Pelodiscus sinensis: one gene and its partner. The protein of the gene in region 1 purifies or fractionates together with the protein of each later gene. This does not show direct contact. Links are inferred from orthologs where the notes say so. Each region holds a gene or a part of one and is shown on either strand. Other genes may lie near its edges.

Region 1 (7,301 bases):
CAACATTTCTGTGGTGGGAAGAACACCTCAGCAGTCCAGCACCTTGGCATTTAAATTCAAAAAGGGGAATTACACAAAAATGAGGAGGTTAAAAGGCACAGTGACTGTAGCCAAATCCCTGCAAGCTGTATGGAAACATTTTAAAGACACCATAATAAAAGCCCAACTTAAATGTATACCCCAAATTAAAAAACATAGCAAGAGACCTAAAAAAGAGTCACCGTGGCTTAATCACCATGTAAAAGAAGCAGTGAGGGACAAAAAGGTATCTTTTAAGAAGTGGAAGTCCAATCCTAGTGAGATAAATAGAAAGGAACATAAACACTGTCAAAAAAGTGTAAAAATGTAATAAGAAAAGCAAAAAAAGATTTTGAGGAAAAGCTAGCCAAAAACTCAAAAAGAAACAACAAAATGTTTTTTAAGTACATTAGAAGCAGGAAGCCTGCTAAAAAACCTGTGGGTCCCCTAGATGATCGAACTATAAAAGGAGCGATCAAGGACGATAAAGCCATTGCAGAGAAACTAAATGATTTCTTTGCTTCAGTCTTCACGGCTGAGGACGTTGGGGGAGATTCCCAAATCTGCACCGTCCTTTGTGAGTGATGAATCTGAGGAACTGTCCTGGATTGAAGTGTCATTAGAGGAGGTTTTGGAACAAATAGAAAAACTTAATGTTAACAAATCTCCGGGACCGGATGGCATTCATCCAAGGGTTCTAAAAGAACTCAAATGGGAAATTTCTGAACTTTTATCTAATCTATAAGTTGTACAACTTACTCAAACAGAAGGATTATGAATTAACTCATAAATGTTGCTGTATCTTCAAAGTCTTACCTCTTTGTGTTGTTTCCCAAGTATGTGAGTTTGCCACAAAAGTTCATTCTTAATCTGAGTGTTGCACAATGTACAACTTAAGTGTCCTAAACGGTTATATGTACATTTCAAAGTTGAGGAAATATTTCAAGATCACACAGTCTTCAAAATTGTAATTCTGAATTTCCAATTTGTAGATAATTTAAAAACACTATTTTCAAAGGGGGAAGTGAAGCCCACGATGTAGGTATTTTTTTTAAATGTCATTACTATTACATGCCAGAATTTTATAATTTTTTGTATACCAATAAAAAGCTATTTCTGTTTAAAGACTCCCGTGTCGTGTAAACAAAACATTATGCTGTCATATGCAGGAGTACCCAAATTGTTACCTCTGACAAAAAAAATTGTAAGATGGTACATGAACCAATAAAATTTAGGAGCCACTTTAGAATTGAAGCCATGTCTAAAAACATGTGAAATTGACAGATAGCATCACTGTCCACGCTGGCTAAGAGCAAAGCAAAACATCACTGTAACAATCTCTTCAAAGCTGCAACACACTGCTAAGGAAAGCAGGGAAACCAGCCCCTAACCAACCAACGTTCTCTGTAAGTGGAGCACCAAATGCCGCTCGGCAACGCCCATAGCCAGCAGCTTGTGTTTCTATTGGTGGTGGCATCCTTACATACCTCAGCGCACCTAACAAAAGTTATTCCGCACATGGGGGGGAGGAAGGGGAGGGGGCATTGCCCCTGCGCCCGGGCCTGTCACTGTTCGGGGGGAGGGGGCTGTACAAGCCCATGCACCTCTGCAAATGTTTTACAGTTTGAGGGTGGCGGGAGCGTCGCAAACTCGACACTTGCCGGGAGCCCAGAGCAGCCCGGCCGGCCCTGCAGCCGCCAGGAAGAGGAGGGGGCTGGCGCAGGGGCAGGTGGGACCCTGCGTCCGGGGCGGGGCGGGGCGTTGGAGGAGAACACCGCGGACCAGCCCGGCACGAGGTTGCCGAGCGCGAGACACAGGCCAGCAGGGAACCGCGCGGCGGCGCGAGACGGGCTCCCGGCGAGCACTAAACAACGACTCCCCTTCCCGCAATGGGGGTGTGTGTGGCCCCTCATACGTGCACGGGTCGGGGGGGGGGAAGCGGAAGGATATTTAGCGAACGGCGCCTCGATTCGCTTCTTTCCGGCGCCCTGTCGCTGCTTCTCCCGCATGAGACGCCGCAGCTCGTCCTGCTGTACCAGCTTCCGCCCCGAGCCCGACGCCATCTTGGCCCGGAACTGCCTCCGGAGACGCAGCCACTTCCGGCGGAAGGGGGAGACACACCAAGTCCCGCCTCTTCCCCCGGTCTTGCGCTAGGGGAAGGGCGAAGCTAGACGCGGAGTTGCTATGGCACGTGCCTCTTCCTTCCTGTCCTAGTGGGGCGCGAGCTCTGGCCGCGGGAGCCTGCGTCCGTTGCGGGGGCGCGCTGCACGTGGCGGGGCTACTGTCCTGAGAGCGCCCCGCCCCCAACGCTAAACGCCGCCGCGGTGGGAAAGCAGAAGGGAGGCAGCGGGGGCGTCTCTCCCCCCCTTGGAGCCACTCGTCTTGCCCCGCCCTGAGCCCTTGTCCAGGGCAGAGCATTAGCTGGTGTCTCCGTGGTGCAAACACTGGAGCTGGTTCCGTGTGTCACTGGCTTTGTTGTCGCAGCTTCACGCAAGTCAGGGTGGTCACGTCAGAGACAGGCTTCCTGCCCGGCCGCTCAGAGCAGCACACGTGGTTCTGTTAGAAAGCTGCAGATGAAGATTTTGGGAAGCCCAAAGGACGGGTTTCCTTAGCAGTTGACTATGCAAACCCATCGTCACCCCCCACCCACACTTTTTTAAAATTCAGCACTTTGCCTGAATTCAAAGCATCGTTTTGTTTAGAGGAGTTAGGTTACAACACTGATTGAGCCCCCTGGCCAGGCTTTAACAGCCTGAAATTGTTTTGAATGCTCTGTGAGAAGCCTAAACTATAAGTACAGCCGGTCCCCAAGTTGCAAACGGTCAAGTTACGACTGTTCACGTTTACGACTGCTCCATGGAAGTTTTGGTCGTAAAGGCGGTCCCTGAGTCAGAACACAACCTGGGCTTGCAAACAGCGTGGTCACTATGTAACTCAATGGGGTCCGAGTTACGAACAGATCACGTTACGGCCTTGGGGAGAGGCTGTACACATTTTTATAGATATCACTAACTTTCCTATACATCTGACCATCCCCTCCCCAGCAGCTAATCAAGAGGATACTGGGCCTTAAATCTATCGCTGCTTTCTCCTTTTATAATTGTTTGGTTTTGTGCGAAAATAGAGTTTGGCAAGCACTTGTCTATATCTTCCATTGTTCATGCCAGCCTCAGTAAGTGAAACATTCTTAATTACTTACATCATTATAGGAAGAGATGTGCCAAGGTATCCTATTCATAAGAAGTAATACAACTCCGTTACAAGTAGATTCTCTAAAATGGTGTTTCTCAACTAGTGGTATAAGAGAAGTCTTGGGGGTACATCAACACAACTGAAAATTGGAGAAAACTGAATTTTTGTTTTGTAAAGTTTTACAGCACTTTATTACTTTTGTACTTTTTACACCCAAAAATTTCATCACCTGCCAGGCTATGATTAAGTTGTTTAAACAATGGTAGAAAAAAAGTGTGTCTGAAAACTATAGGTACTGGGGGTCCCTATAAATTTTTTAAAGGGGGGTACTTATAATTTTTTAAAGTGGTACTTTATAAAAAAGGTTGAGAAACACTGCTCTAAAACTTACATAGAATGAAGTTGCTATACATTTAAGTACAGAATCAACAGTCAATAGATTAATCAGCATGAGTTCTGTACTATATCACAATAATCACAAAAACAAACATTTATTGTATTTTCCATATTTAATTTTATTTCCCTCCTTCATTTACTGTAGCTCAATAACTGAAATAAAAATATCCAGCCAAATTCTGTACTGTCCCATGGGCCAATGCAAATTGAGAATAACTCCAATGAAGTCAAAAGAATTATTACAGATTAACACCACTATACTAGCAGCAGAAGTTGGGTCATAAAGAACACCACTAAAAGTTTGATATTTTAAGTTACTCAGACGTTTAGGAGCAAGAGATTCTATAATTCTGAGGTTCTGTAGCTCAAAGAATGTTGTTAGTTTTGGCATGCACCTCCTGGGGCTCTTGTACATTTCAAAAGCAGGGAGAACAGGCCAGCAGGGGACTGAGAGTCCCCAGCTTGCCCCAGGCTCCCCACAGTGCTTCTGATCTTGCTATGTTTCAAATGCAGAAGTGCTGCTAGTTCCCCATTGCATCCCCTCCCCTTTTCCTCACAGAGACAGTGTTGGGGGGAAATGGCTTTTAAGCTGGCTCCGCACAGCACCGAATTCTGCTTCCCTCTCTCCCTCCTTGCTGCCTGTCTCTAATGGGGGGGAGTGACTATTTGAGTCAACTATCGGATAAGCATTTGCTTATCAGTCAACTAGTCACTTACATCCCAAGGATGAAGAACTACTAAGGAACAGCATTTATATCTAACCCTGCCCAGCCCAGTTCTGCTCAAAGAGGGAAATCGGTCTCTATTACATGAACCCCTAAAAGTTTACTAAATTAAAATCATGATTATATTTAGAGCAGGTGAGGACTAATTCCTCACTTGATAAAGAGTTTGATCCTGCACCCACTGAATTCATTGGTAGTTTTGCCATTGATTTCAATGGTAGCAGGATCTGTCCCAGAAGCAACACTGGCTATACTGAATCAGAGCATCACTGAAATGAATACAGGTCTGCTCCTCTCCATAGCATTGCAGTCCCAAGCAAATATGGCAGCATGACCATACTGCTAGCCCTGAATGCTATCACAGTAACCAGAAAATATAATTACTTCCTATCTTAAAAACAGCTTTCTAAGGATTAGTAATGAAAAACAAAATACATTCATTTCAAATCAAGAGCTTATCCGTCAAGTTTCAGTCTACTGCAGATTTTACAGACTATCATAAGTGAGTGTACTATGGTAAACTGATAAAACCTTAAAGAAATACTGCAATTTAACAGAAAAATGCAATGTAACTGAAAAATATGTTCACTTCATCTAATTATATTTGGTATAATATAACATTTTAAAAAACTTTATAACAAACTACTAACTGTTAAAAAGATACAGAAGTGCCATATTGCCCATCTGCTAACAGATTGCGACACTAACAATTTTCCTCTGATTATGACTGTAGGAGAAATATTAGAGGACTATCACTATTTTGAGATCTTATTTTATTAGGAATTATTTAACATAACTGAAATATGTTCAATGCTTATATTTTCATTTTTTTTTCTGGTAAAGAGAACTTACCTTAAAACAGTCGTAAAACACAGAGATTCTCATGCTCTCATCTGGCAAGCAATGCAGAACACCCTTAACTTTCACAGAATCCAGAGAGAGTTAAGGGAGCTTGTTTGCCACCAGATCAAGTGCTTGTTGATAAATGCTTTCTTGGTCACAAACTGCCACATGTCACACAGGACTTCCAAGTAGAAATAGCAGTGAAATGGCAACTCTTGTTAAAGAGATGCTATCAGTGGCAGAATATTTTTAAAAAATTGTTTTACAATTTTACTTTATAATAGACATTAGATTAATAAATATTCATCCACTAACTCCAAAGGGAACAGAGATAATTACTTGCAATTTTCTCTAAAATACAGCAAATCAGTGAAACAGTCAAAAATACTCTGATAAAATAGCACCATTTTCAGAGCTTGATTGGACTGCCCACTTCTTATATAAGCAACATGAATTATCCAGTTGCATTTCACACCATTACTCAAAGGAAAAGTATACTACAGAAAACAAATACACGCTGTGTACACAGTATAACAAAATACGTATCAAGAAAAAAGTGCCAATGCATTCACTGAAAATTAAACAGTTAAATTAAGTACCATACATGTTACAGTACATTCCATTTATTTTGATAGTTTAAGGCTAAAATAGTTACAACCTCCACTGTAGTCAAGTTTTCCTATGCTTATGAACACATACAAGTATTAAACTGGTACAGATGCAGGATACTATTTATTGCTCTAAATGTTCTATTCGAATGCTAGATGTCCCAACTATTGTATAAACCTGCTTTTTTCAGTCAAGCTAAAGTCCTACAACTGCAACATATGCTCTTGTACGGTTTTCAAACTTCTTGAGCTGCAAATAATTTTGAAGACATAATGGAAAAGATAAGAATTGAGAAAAACTTAATTTAAAAAAATGTCTTTGTAAAAAGAATATAATGATCCAAACTTGCCCACCTCTTGGAACTGTATAATGTGCTACAGTATGTAGTTAACTAAAACATGCATCACCACCCATCAAAGACTTTTTTTCTTCAGGAAGGATTGTTTTCTTTTGAAAAGAATAGCTTTGAATGAGTGGTAAATGTGACAACCAGCAAGTAATGAGTGACTAGTACCAGTCTAAACAGACTGGGCTTAAAAAAAAACCACCAAATAGCTGAATATGTGCTCCAAAACAAAGAGCAAACTCCTCTTCTTGCTCACAGAGCAATTATTTCTCCTATTTATCAAGAGTGATGCCTCATTCTGCCAGAGCCAAGTTCTTTGATTGTAGCTTATCCATTTCTTGACCAATACTTCCTTCAACAGTATCACACTGGGCAAGAAAAGCCTGAGAATAAAATTAACACACACAAAAAGTTAAGAGTGCAAATTACTCTAGAATGACAAACTGCTTCCCAATAATTTTTTTAATTGGAATGTTCCTATTATGAAGTTGGAAGTAAAGTCAACTCCAGTTTCTTTTGGCTTCTGCAATGGTCACAACTTTTGCTAGAACTTAAGTGAACAGAAAATTTCCTTCATTCATTCATTCCCCAGTAGAAATCTAATTTATCAGCTCAATGAAAACAGCAGTGCCAACAGATCAACAGTATTTAGCATCACCAATCAGCAATTGGGGGGAGAGGGGAAGAGAACACGCTCGGACAAGTGGTGACCTGCTTTTTGTTGTTAACTATAATCCCCTTTCCTATTTTCTCATGTATATAACATGTCTAACACCAATACTGCAAAGTCCACTTAAAGCTGTACCAAACCAAACTAAGCAATCTTCACTAAACCTATAAATCAGAGGTGGAGAACTTTTTGGGTTGGGGGCCACTGACCCACAGGAAAATCAGTTGGGGGCTGCACACAAATGAGAAACAAAAAAAACCAACAAAAAACTACCCTGTCTGATGTGGTCCCTGACTGAGAAGGAGAATGACACTTCCCATATTCCCCTGGTACACCAGAGCCTTGGAGGGCTCAGGCTAGTAGATTTTGTATGCTCCAGCCCTGCAGGAGGATGGCAGGGGAGTTGGAGCACCATGCGGGCTCCCTAATGCTGTGGGAGGTAGCTTCGAGCCTTTGGGGCCAGATCCAGCCTCCGGGCCTTAGATCCCCCACTCCTGCTATA
Region 2 (7,949 bases), on another chromosome or scaffold:
ATTTCAAAGTGGCAGCACCGTGTGGAGCCCAGGGTCTGGTCCCAGGCTCCATGTGGCGCTGCCTCTTTGAAGCACTCCCTCCCCTTGTTGTCTCTTTTTGATAGACAAGCTTGTAGACTATCTGATAAGCATTTGCTTATCGGATCGTTGACTAGTTCTTCACATCCCTAGTAGTGTGCATAGTCCTGTTATGTAACTAAAATGTACATTATATAGTGATTTTGTGAAAAGTTTTCTGCAAATAAGACTTCTGATATATAAATGAGAACTAGAGAAGTATAATGTTGCTCTATAATGCAATATAGAAAAAATATTAATACCCAGGGCTCACCAAGCAGCAGCGAGCCTCACTTGCCAGCCGCGCGGAACTGCACGCTGCGCATGCACTGTCCACGCTGCGCAGCCGTGCTGGGCTAAAATCTACTCACCACAGGCAAGTAGATTACATGGGATCTTTTTCAGGGAGAAGGCAATACACCGTGTTTATTGAGAATACAGTAGAGAAGCAGTTAGCAAATGCTTTATAAAGACACGCACGCACACACAAACACACACACGTGTCCTGCAGATGGGGCATAGTTACCAGTCCATGGTGGCTCAAGTCAGTCCTATTGGCTAAGCAAGGCTGACTGAGTGAGGAGTCGGGGTTCCTCTGAGACTCCCCCGAGGCTTGGCTTGCAGGACGGAACCCAGAGTCCCATGGCAAGGGCTTCCCTTCTTATCCATATCAGTTGGAGTCTGTGGGTTTTGCAGTGTCATCCGCCCTTAGGCGGTGTTCTCATTATTGTTTCTCACTCTTGGTGGGGGTCTCTGCCTGTCTCCAGGGTTTGTCAATGCTGCCAATTCAATTCAGCCTCAAGAAACAATGGATGTTTCAAAGTTTCCACTTCTCCTTGATCACCTGGGCATCTTTCACACACATCCCCTCCATTCATACCAAACAATTGTATAGAATTTCAAACAAGATCAATAACTAAAAGGGGTACAACTTAATTGGCAATACTGAACAGGGAGCAAGGCCTTACACTGAACATTATCTAATCATGAGAGATACACAGAGAGAAATAGAAGCTATAGAACTTATAAGCAAGTCATTACATCAAATCATTATGTATCATACTTATAATCTTATAATCAGTATCAAAATATGCATGTTTGCTACAACTAGTCCAGCAACATCTGAGAGTCCCAAACCAGAGGTTGAACTTGTACTTTGATTTTTTTTAAGATAACTTGATTTTTAGCAGTTTTGGAAATAGTACATAATACTCATTATCTATGTCAAGCTGCAGTTGCTGCAGGTGCAGCACATTAGGAATAAGAACTAAATCACACATACAAACACAAGAGCACTTACATTTTATTAAACTAAATTTTAAATGTCAGAAATTCACATTTGCAATTGCAGCAGTGTCCTGAGTTCTTCCCTGTAGCATAGATGTGCTCTTACAGGGGCTATGTACACTGAACACTTAACAGTATTTACACTTCTTTAAAATAAAAACTTTAAAAGGATAAGCTCTAAGACTAAAAAGAGAATGCAGGAACAAGCCCATCACCAACAGCGGGGGCTATCCTATCCTATTCATTGCACTCAATGTAGCATGTATGATTATTTGTCCTATATGTAGGTGCAAGGAGCTCCTGACCCCCAAGGACTTTGGAAGACCATGATGGCTGAATTGGAGGAGCTAAGGAATGCAGAGAGATTCATAGATGAGACTTTCCAGGACTCAAGAGAATGATCCCATCCCTGGTCACACAGCCTCTGTGCTGTTGAGGAGAGTGAGTCTCAAGAAACAGAACTTGCAGTCATTGTGAATGAGTGGGTGTTTCCAGAGAACCAATGTGCAGCAGCAGTCAAAAAATCAAACAGACTATTGGATATAATAAAAAAAGGGATAGCGTAAAGACACATAATATCTTATTACTTCTATATAACTTCATGGTATACCCACATCTTGAGTATTGCATGCAAATGTTGTCGTCTTATCTAAAAAAAAAAAATGCTGTATACATCAGATACAAGTTTATAACTAATCAGGGCATATCAGCAAACAACCACCTTACGTTATCATAGTCATGGGGAAAGTTCAACTATCCAGACATCTGATGGGAAAATAGCACAGCAGGACGTGTTCTTGGAATGAATTGGAGACGATATTTTGTTTCAGAAAATGGAGAAAGCTTCTAGGGGAGCTGTTCTAGATTTGGTTATGACAAACTGGTTGAGAATGCAAAAGTGAAAGGCACTTTGAGTGAAAGTAATCATAAAACAACTGAGTTAATAACTTTACGGAAGAGGGGCAGGGAGAACTGCAAAATAAAGACAATGGATTTAAAGAGGACAGATGTTAGCAAACTCATGGAGATGATAAGGTCCTATAGGAAGCAAGTTCACGAGGGAGGGGGAGGAAATTTGAAGACAGCTGGCAGTTTTTCCCATTGGGTAGAAAAGACTAGGGCTATATCTATAATGCCCCTGTTTTTCATAAAAAATATGGAAACAAGGCAAAGCGTGGAATATTGCTGTGCCTCATTTGCATAATTAATTAGGCTCCATTTTTGCACAAGAAGCATTTGCGCAAAAAGAATCCATTTACATGGCCCCTTTTTTTCGCAAAACCCCCTCTTGTGCAAGAGCCATTCTTTCTGAAAAAATGCAGACGAACAGCTCTTGTGCAAGAGGGGTTTTTGCACAAAAAGGAGTGGTATAGATGGCTCCCTTTTGCGTAAAAGCTTCTTGTGCAAAAAAGGAGCCTGATTAATTATGCAAATGAGGCACTGTGATAGTCCATGCTTTGCCTCATTTGCATATTCTGCGCAAGAGGCTATAGCGTAGATATAGCCTAGAAGTACAGCAAGAGAGAGCTGTGGCTTATCCATGGTGTCCCCAGTGATCTAAAAACCCAGAAAGAGTCCCACAAAAGGTTGTAAACTAGGTCAAACTACAAGGATGAATATAAGCAAACAACACAAGTGTTTAGGCACAAAATTAGAAAGGCCGAGATACAAAGCAACCTCATTCTAATTAGAGACAAAAAGGGTAACAAGAACACATTGTATAGAAAAGACCAAAGTACAGGGTAGGCCTATTCTATGAGGGGGAAAAACAATAAAAGAAAATGTGGAAATGAAAGAGGTGCTTAATGGATTGTTTTGGTTTCACCAACAAGGTTGGTGGTGATTGGATGCTAAACATAGTGTAGACCAGAGACAATGAGGTAGGATTAGATGCAAAAAAAGGAAAAGAACAAGTTAAAAATTATTTAGAGAAATTAGATGTCTTCGGGTCATTGGAGTCTGATGGAACACATCCTAGAATACGCAAAGAGATGACTAAGCTGGTACCTGAGCCATTAACTATTATCTTTGAAGTCATGGAAGATGGCAGAGTTTCCAGAAAACTGGAAAAGGGCAATAAGGATATTCATTTGTGTACTGGGAAAGATAGAGCAAATAAATAAGCAGTCATGTCAAACTAACGTGATAGCTTTGACAAGGTAACATGCCTTTTGAATGGGAGGGAAGTGATTGACATGGTATAGCTTGACTTTAGCAATGTTTTTGGTACTAATGAAACCATGATGAAGCTACAATACGGTGGGTGCCAAACTGTTCGGAAAATAGTGCCCAGGGTGTAGTTATCAGTAGTTTACAGTGATGCTATAAGGGCATAATGAGTGTTGTCCTGCAGTGATCAGTTCTAGATCCATTTCAATTCAAAATCTTTGTCACTGCTTTAGATAATGGCTTTGAGATGCGGGAGGGGCAATAACAGTAACAATCCCCCAAAACATGTGGACAGAAGCAGAGCGATGTAACCTGGGGAGCAAAGAGAGCTGGAGCCACCTTACTGTGCTTCCCCTGATGCTGCCAGTATGTGTGGGGATGAGGCAGGGCAAGGGCAGAGCCAGAAAGGGGAGGAATAGATGTGTGGGTTCTCTAGTCCAGGCCCTCCACATCCCCCCCTCATCAGTCACCTCTGCTTAGAGCGTGTCCTTATTAAGTTTGTGAATGATAACACATGGAGAGGGGTTTGCAAGTGGTTTGGGCCACATACTAAATACCAGTCAACAGTATAAAGGCAAAAATGGCAAACCTGTGTTGTAAGCAAGATGCAATAAGTAAAGAATGTGCTGTACTTTGCACTGATTAATCCTCAACTGGAGCACTGGGCAAGAAGCCTGAAACATGACAACAATCACTGGGTCTATAGAAATTGGCTACCTCTGGTATTAGTGTTTAACAATAGGACTGTGTCTACATTGGCATGATTTTGCGCAAAAGCAGTTGCTTTTCCACAAAAACATGCTGCCTGTCTACACTGGCGGGGAGTTCTTGTGCGAGAACACTGACGCGAGAACACTGACGGCTTCTTGCGCAAGAACTATGATGCTCCTGCTCAGGAGTAAGCCCTGTTGTGCAACTGTTCTTGCGCAAGAGGCCAGTGTAGACAGGCCACATGAATTTCTTGTGCAAGAAAGCCCGATAGCTAAAATGGCCATTGGAGCTTTCTTGTGCAAGAGAGTGTCTACACTGGCACGAATGCTCTTGCGCAAAGGCACATGCCACTGTAGACGTAGCCTAGCAGTTTCTTACACTTTATAACTATGTAGCTGCTCCCTGTAGGGTTGCGCTGCATTCGGTAGCAATGTCTTATAAGGGCAGCTGTCTTACAATCAAACCTGTCAGTAATTGCTACCAGGAGCAGCTCTATGCAAAGATGGTGCTACTTCCGGGAGCAATATATTATAGGAGCCGATCCTTACGAGCGTACCAATCAGAAACTGCTACGAGTAGCGGCGTCTCACACGGCCGCGGCTCTTTCCGGAACGGTGCTTGGGGCGCCCGGGTTGTACGGCGTGACTAGTTTAGCGGCGCACGCCGTACTACCGGAAGTCGCTGAGGTGCCCGGAACAGCCGGCTTAGCCCTGGGGGAGCTGGCCTGCCGGAGCTCGCTGGTCCGCCTCACTTCGGGGTCCCCCCTTGGCAGGGGGCGCGTTTCCTGCGCCGGGGAAGAGCCAGAACCGCCGCCATGGGGAAGAGGCAGCACCAGAAGGACAAGATGTGAGGAGGGGGGGGGCTGTTCTGGCGGGGCTCAAGGCGCGCGGACAGTGGCCGGGCCTGGCTCCCCGCGGTCCAGGCCGCTGTCGGGCGTGACAGGCCGTGGGGGTCCGAGCCCGCGCGTGCGGCTGTCTCGCGGGCAGCCCGCTAAGCCGCGCGGAGCGGCGCGTCCTCTGAGCCAGTGGCGGGACCGACCCCTTCCAGGCTCTCCCCCACGAGCGCTGCCCGGGCGGGGCCGGCAGGAGCAGGGTTTAGGCGCCGTTAGTCTAATGAAGGGGTGGAGGGTGGCGCAGGGGCATAAGTGGCAGGTGCGAAGAGGCAGCTGCTCCCCCTGGTTACACGATTACACACTAAGGGGCCTTTCTCCCCCCCCTTCTAACAGAGGCGGGGGGGCGGTGGCAGGCGTGGAAGCCAGTATGTGCAAGGAGCACTAGCTCCTGTTTCCTCCCACCCGCGTATGTAAACGTGTACTCGCTGAAAATTTATGCATTTTAAATAAACACATTTTAACACCTGTAGCTTGAAGATACTTAGAATTTGTCTGTACCGAGATGTCTGGGAAAGTTAATACAGATTAATTGAAGGTGTGAACTTGAAGTGATGCAACTTAAATCTGTGTGTCAACTCAGTTTCTACAAAGGGATTTAAATGGCACTTCAGATTCACATCTTTCACTTAATGTGAATCTTTTTTCTTGTGCCCCTTCCCCCGGCTAGTTCTTTATTCTCCCAGATCCAGAAGAAGCTAGATAGAACCAAGAACTTGTGTTCTGTACGAGAGCTTTTTGTAAGCTCACAGCTTGGTCAGGAGTTGGGGTATCTGTGTTAGGCACTGAAGAAAAGTTTGGCGTGGTAAATATAGAACAAAAGCTATAATAGTGACTTGTGGGTCAACCTTGTTCCTTTGCTTCAAGGCTTAATGCACAGTTTCCAGATGTTGTTATGGAATCATCCGTAGTGACAATAAAGCAAACAAAAGTGTCATCTGTGTTATAACTTGGTCTCTGGCATGATATGGTGGCAACATAGTATGTTTCTCTTTTTTTGTGGTATTGCCCCAAAGCTCTTCGTATTGGGAACATTGAGGTGTGACACCTAATATCAGAGTTGGCTATATTGGGTAAAAGTGTAAAAAAGGTAGCTAAGAATGTTTAATATCTCTTATTAATATAACTTTCAGTTTGAAAAATCATTGGTTTCTGCTAAATATCATTAGTGCAATGTATTAAGCATTAACACTGCTTTACTCTTTAGGTACATAACATGTGCAGAATATACACACTTTTATGGAGGAAAGAAAGCAGGTAAGTTACTGTGTTTTCTTTTTGTTATTTTTCACAATTATTTCTGATTTGTACATATGTTCACACTTCAGTGCTGATGTCTGTTTTTCTCTTCCTTATTCTTCTCTCATTGAAGTTGTGAAAGACCTCTTGGCTAAGTCTCAAGGCCTGCTTGCCATGCTCCCCCTCTTTCTGTTGCCTTTAAACTTGTTGACTGCTCTCTCTTTTATTGTGTCCTATCCTCCTTTCCTTCCTGGTTGAATCCTTTCCTGGATCTTGCTCTGACTTTCCAAACATGCATTCGGTACCTCTTTTTCTGTTTACCCTTTTATTTTGTTGGACTCTTTCAGGGTGCCATCCTTGCCGACTGTGCCTTCTCCCCTGATTATTTCATGTGTTTACATGCAATTACAGATCACTTTTGCATGAATGACTTTTAAATATTCTTCTTCCCTCTGGGCTTATATCCTTTTCTTAGCTTTGCTCTTTCCATTATCCCTGGAAATGTCATCCTGTATAGTTCACTGCCATTTCAATCTCAGTTTGGCTACATCAAAGCAGTTACAGTGGGATCCTGATGCTTGTAACCTGGGTGTTATATTTGATTCCACACTTCTCCCCTTACAGTCAGACTTCGGCTGAGTCTTGTCCTCCACAGAATTTGAAAATCTCACTCATTTCTCTCCCTATAACTGAATTTCTCATTCATGTCCTAGCAACATCTACACTTGTAATCTATTTTCAGGTCTCTAATGTTAACCATGTCCACAAAACCAAAATGCTCTTATTTCCACCACGTCATCCCAAGCTTCTCACTTTATGTCCACCAAACCTAAACTCCGTGACTTTGCCTACAGAGCCCTGTGTTCCATCTCTTTTCCTCATCCCCTCCGGCTCCCTGATGTCAGCGTAAACCTCTTTTGTTTCTTGCATCTCCACCCTTTTTTTAAGATTTAAAATTTCATGCTTGGAATGCCTTCCTCAAACTTACTTTCATGGAACATTTGACCTTTGATGTCTGTGCAAATTTTAAAAACGGACAAGAACATTTTTAAAAAGGGGGATAATGTAGCTATAAAACCTTCAGAATTTGACAGGGTGGAAGGATAGGCCAAGGCGTATCTCAATTACTTTAAAAGAATACTTTTCTAACTCTTCCCATTTTATTTGTGGAATAGAGTTTGGGTTTGCTCTGCACTGGTTTGTCAAGTTTTTATTTTTGTTAGTTTCACAGGATTTAGACTGTTTATCTTTGTCAGGACCAAATTGCCAACTTGATATATCGAAAACAGTAATTTCCAAATATATATCACCTAGTATTAATCATTAGTATCAGAAGCAAGTTTACTGCCCAAACTATTCTGGATTTATAAAAAGTTCTTTTGCTTTTTATTTTTTTAAACAGATATTCCACAAGCAAATTTTAGGCGTTTATCTTTTGATCACTGCAGGTAAGACATAATATCGTTCTTGTCTTGAACCGTTGACCAAATCATGTTTACTGTGGTGGTCAGTAGGACAGACAGACATCAGAGAAAATATGCCTTCATGCAGCACCACCAACAGTTCAGCAAGAATTGAAATTTCTGTTTGGACTCCA

The links. Proteins that work in one complex are often made in the same cells at the same time.
Region 2: the proteins of ZNF830 (region 1) and PPIL2 purify together in Homo sapiens (co-immunoprecipitation; 4 studies listed by BioGRID and IntAct, counting the BioPlex papers as one, with this or other methods). This does not show direct contact. The link is inferred for Pelodiscus sinensis from reciprocal best matches to the Homo sapiens genes ZNF830 and PPIL2.

Annotation. Positions count from the first base shown.
Region 1 is NC_134712.1:149,974,782-149,982,082, forward strand, and holds the start of ZNF830 (zinc finger protein 830), read right to left. Parts: upstream 3,062-7,301; 5' UTR 2,082-3,061; coding exon 1,965-2,081; intron 931-1,964; coding exon 835-930; intron 1-834. Other genes in the region: BAG1 (BAG family molecular chaperone regulator 1), read right to left, coding at 6,423-6,512.
Region 2 is NC_134725.1:17,530,019-17,537,967, reverse strand, and holds the start of PPIL2 (RING-type E3 ubiquitin-protein ligase PPIL2), read left to right. Parts: upstream 1-4,848; 5' UTR 4,849-5,038; coding exon 5,039-5,070; intron 5,071-6,320; coding exon 6,321-6,370; intron 6,371-7,754; coding exon 7,755-7,800; intron 7,801-7,949. UniProt on the Homo sapiens protein: Has a ubiquitin-protein ligase activity acting as an E3 ubiquitin protein ligase or as an ubiquitin-ubiquitin ligase promoting elongation of ubiquitin chains on substrates.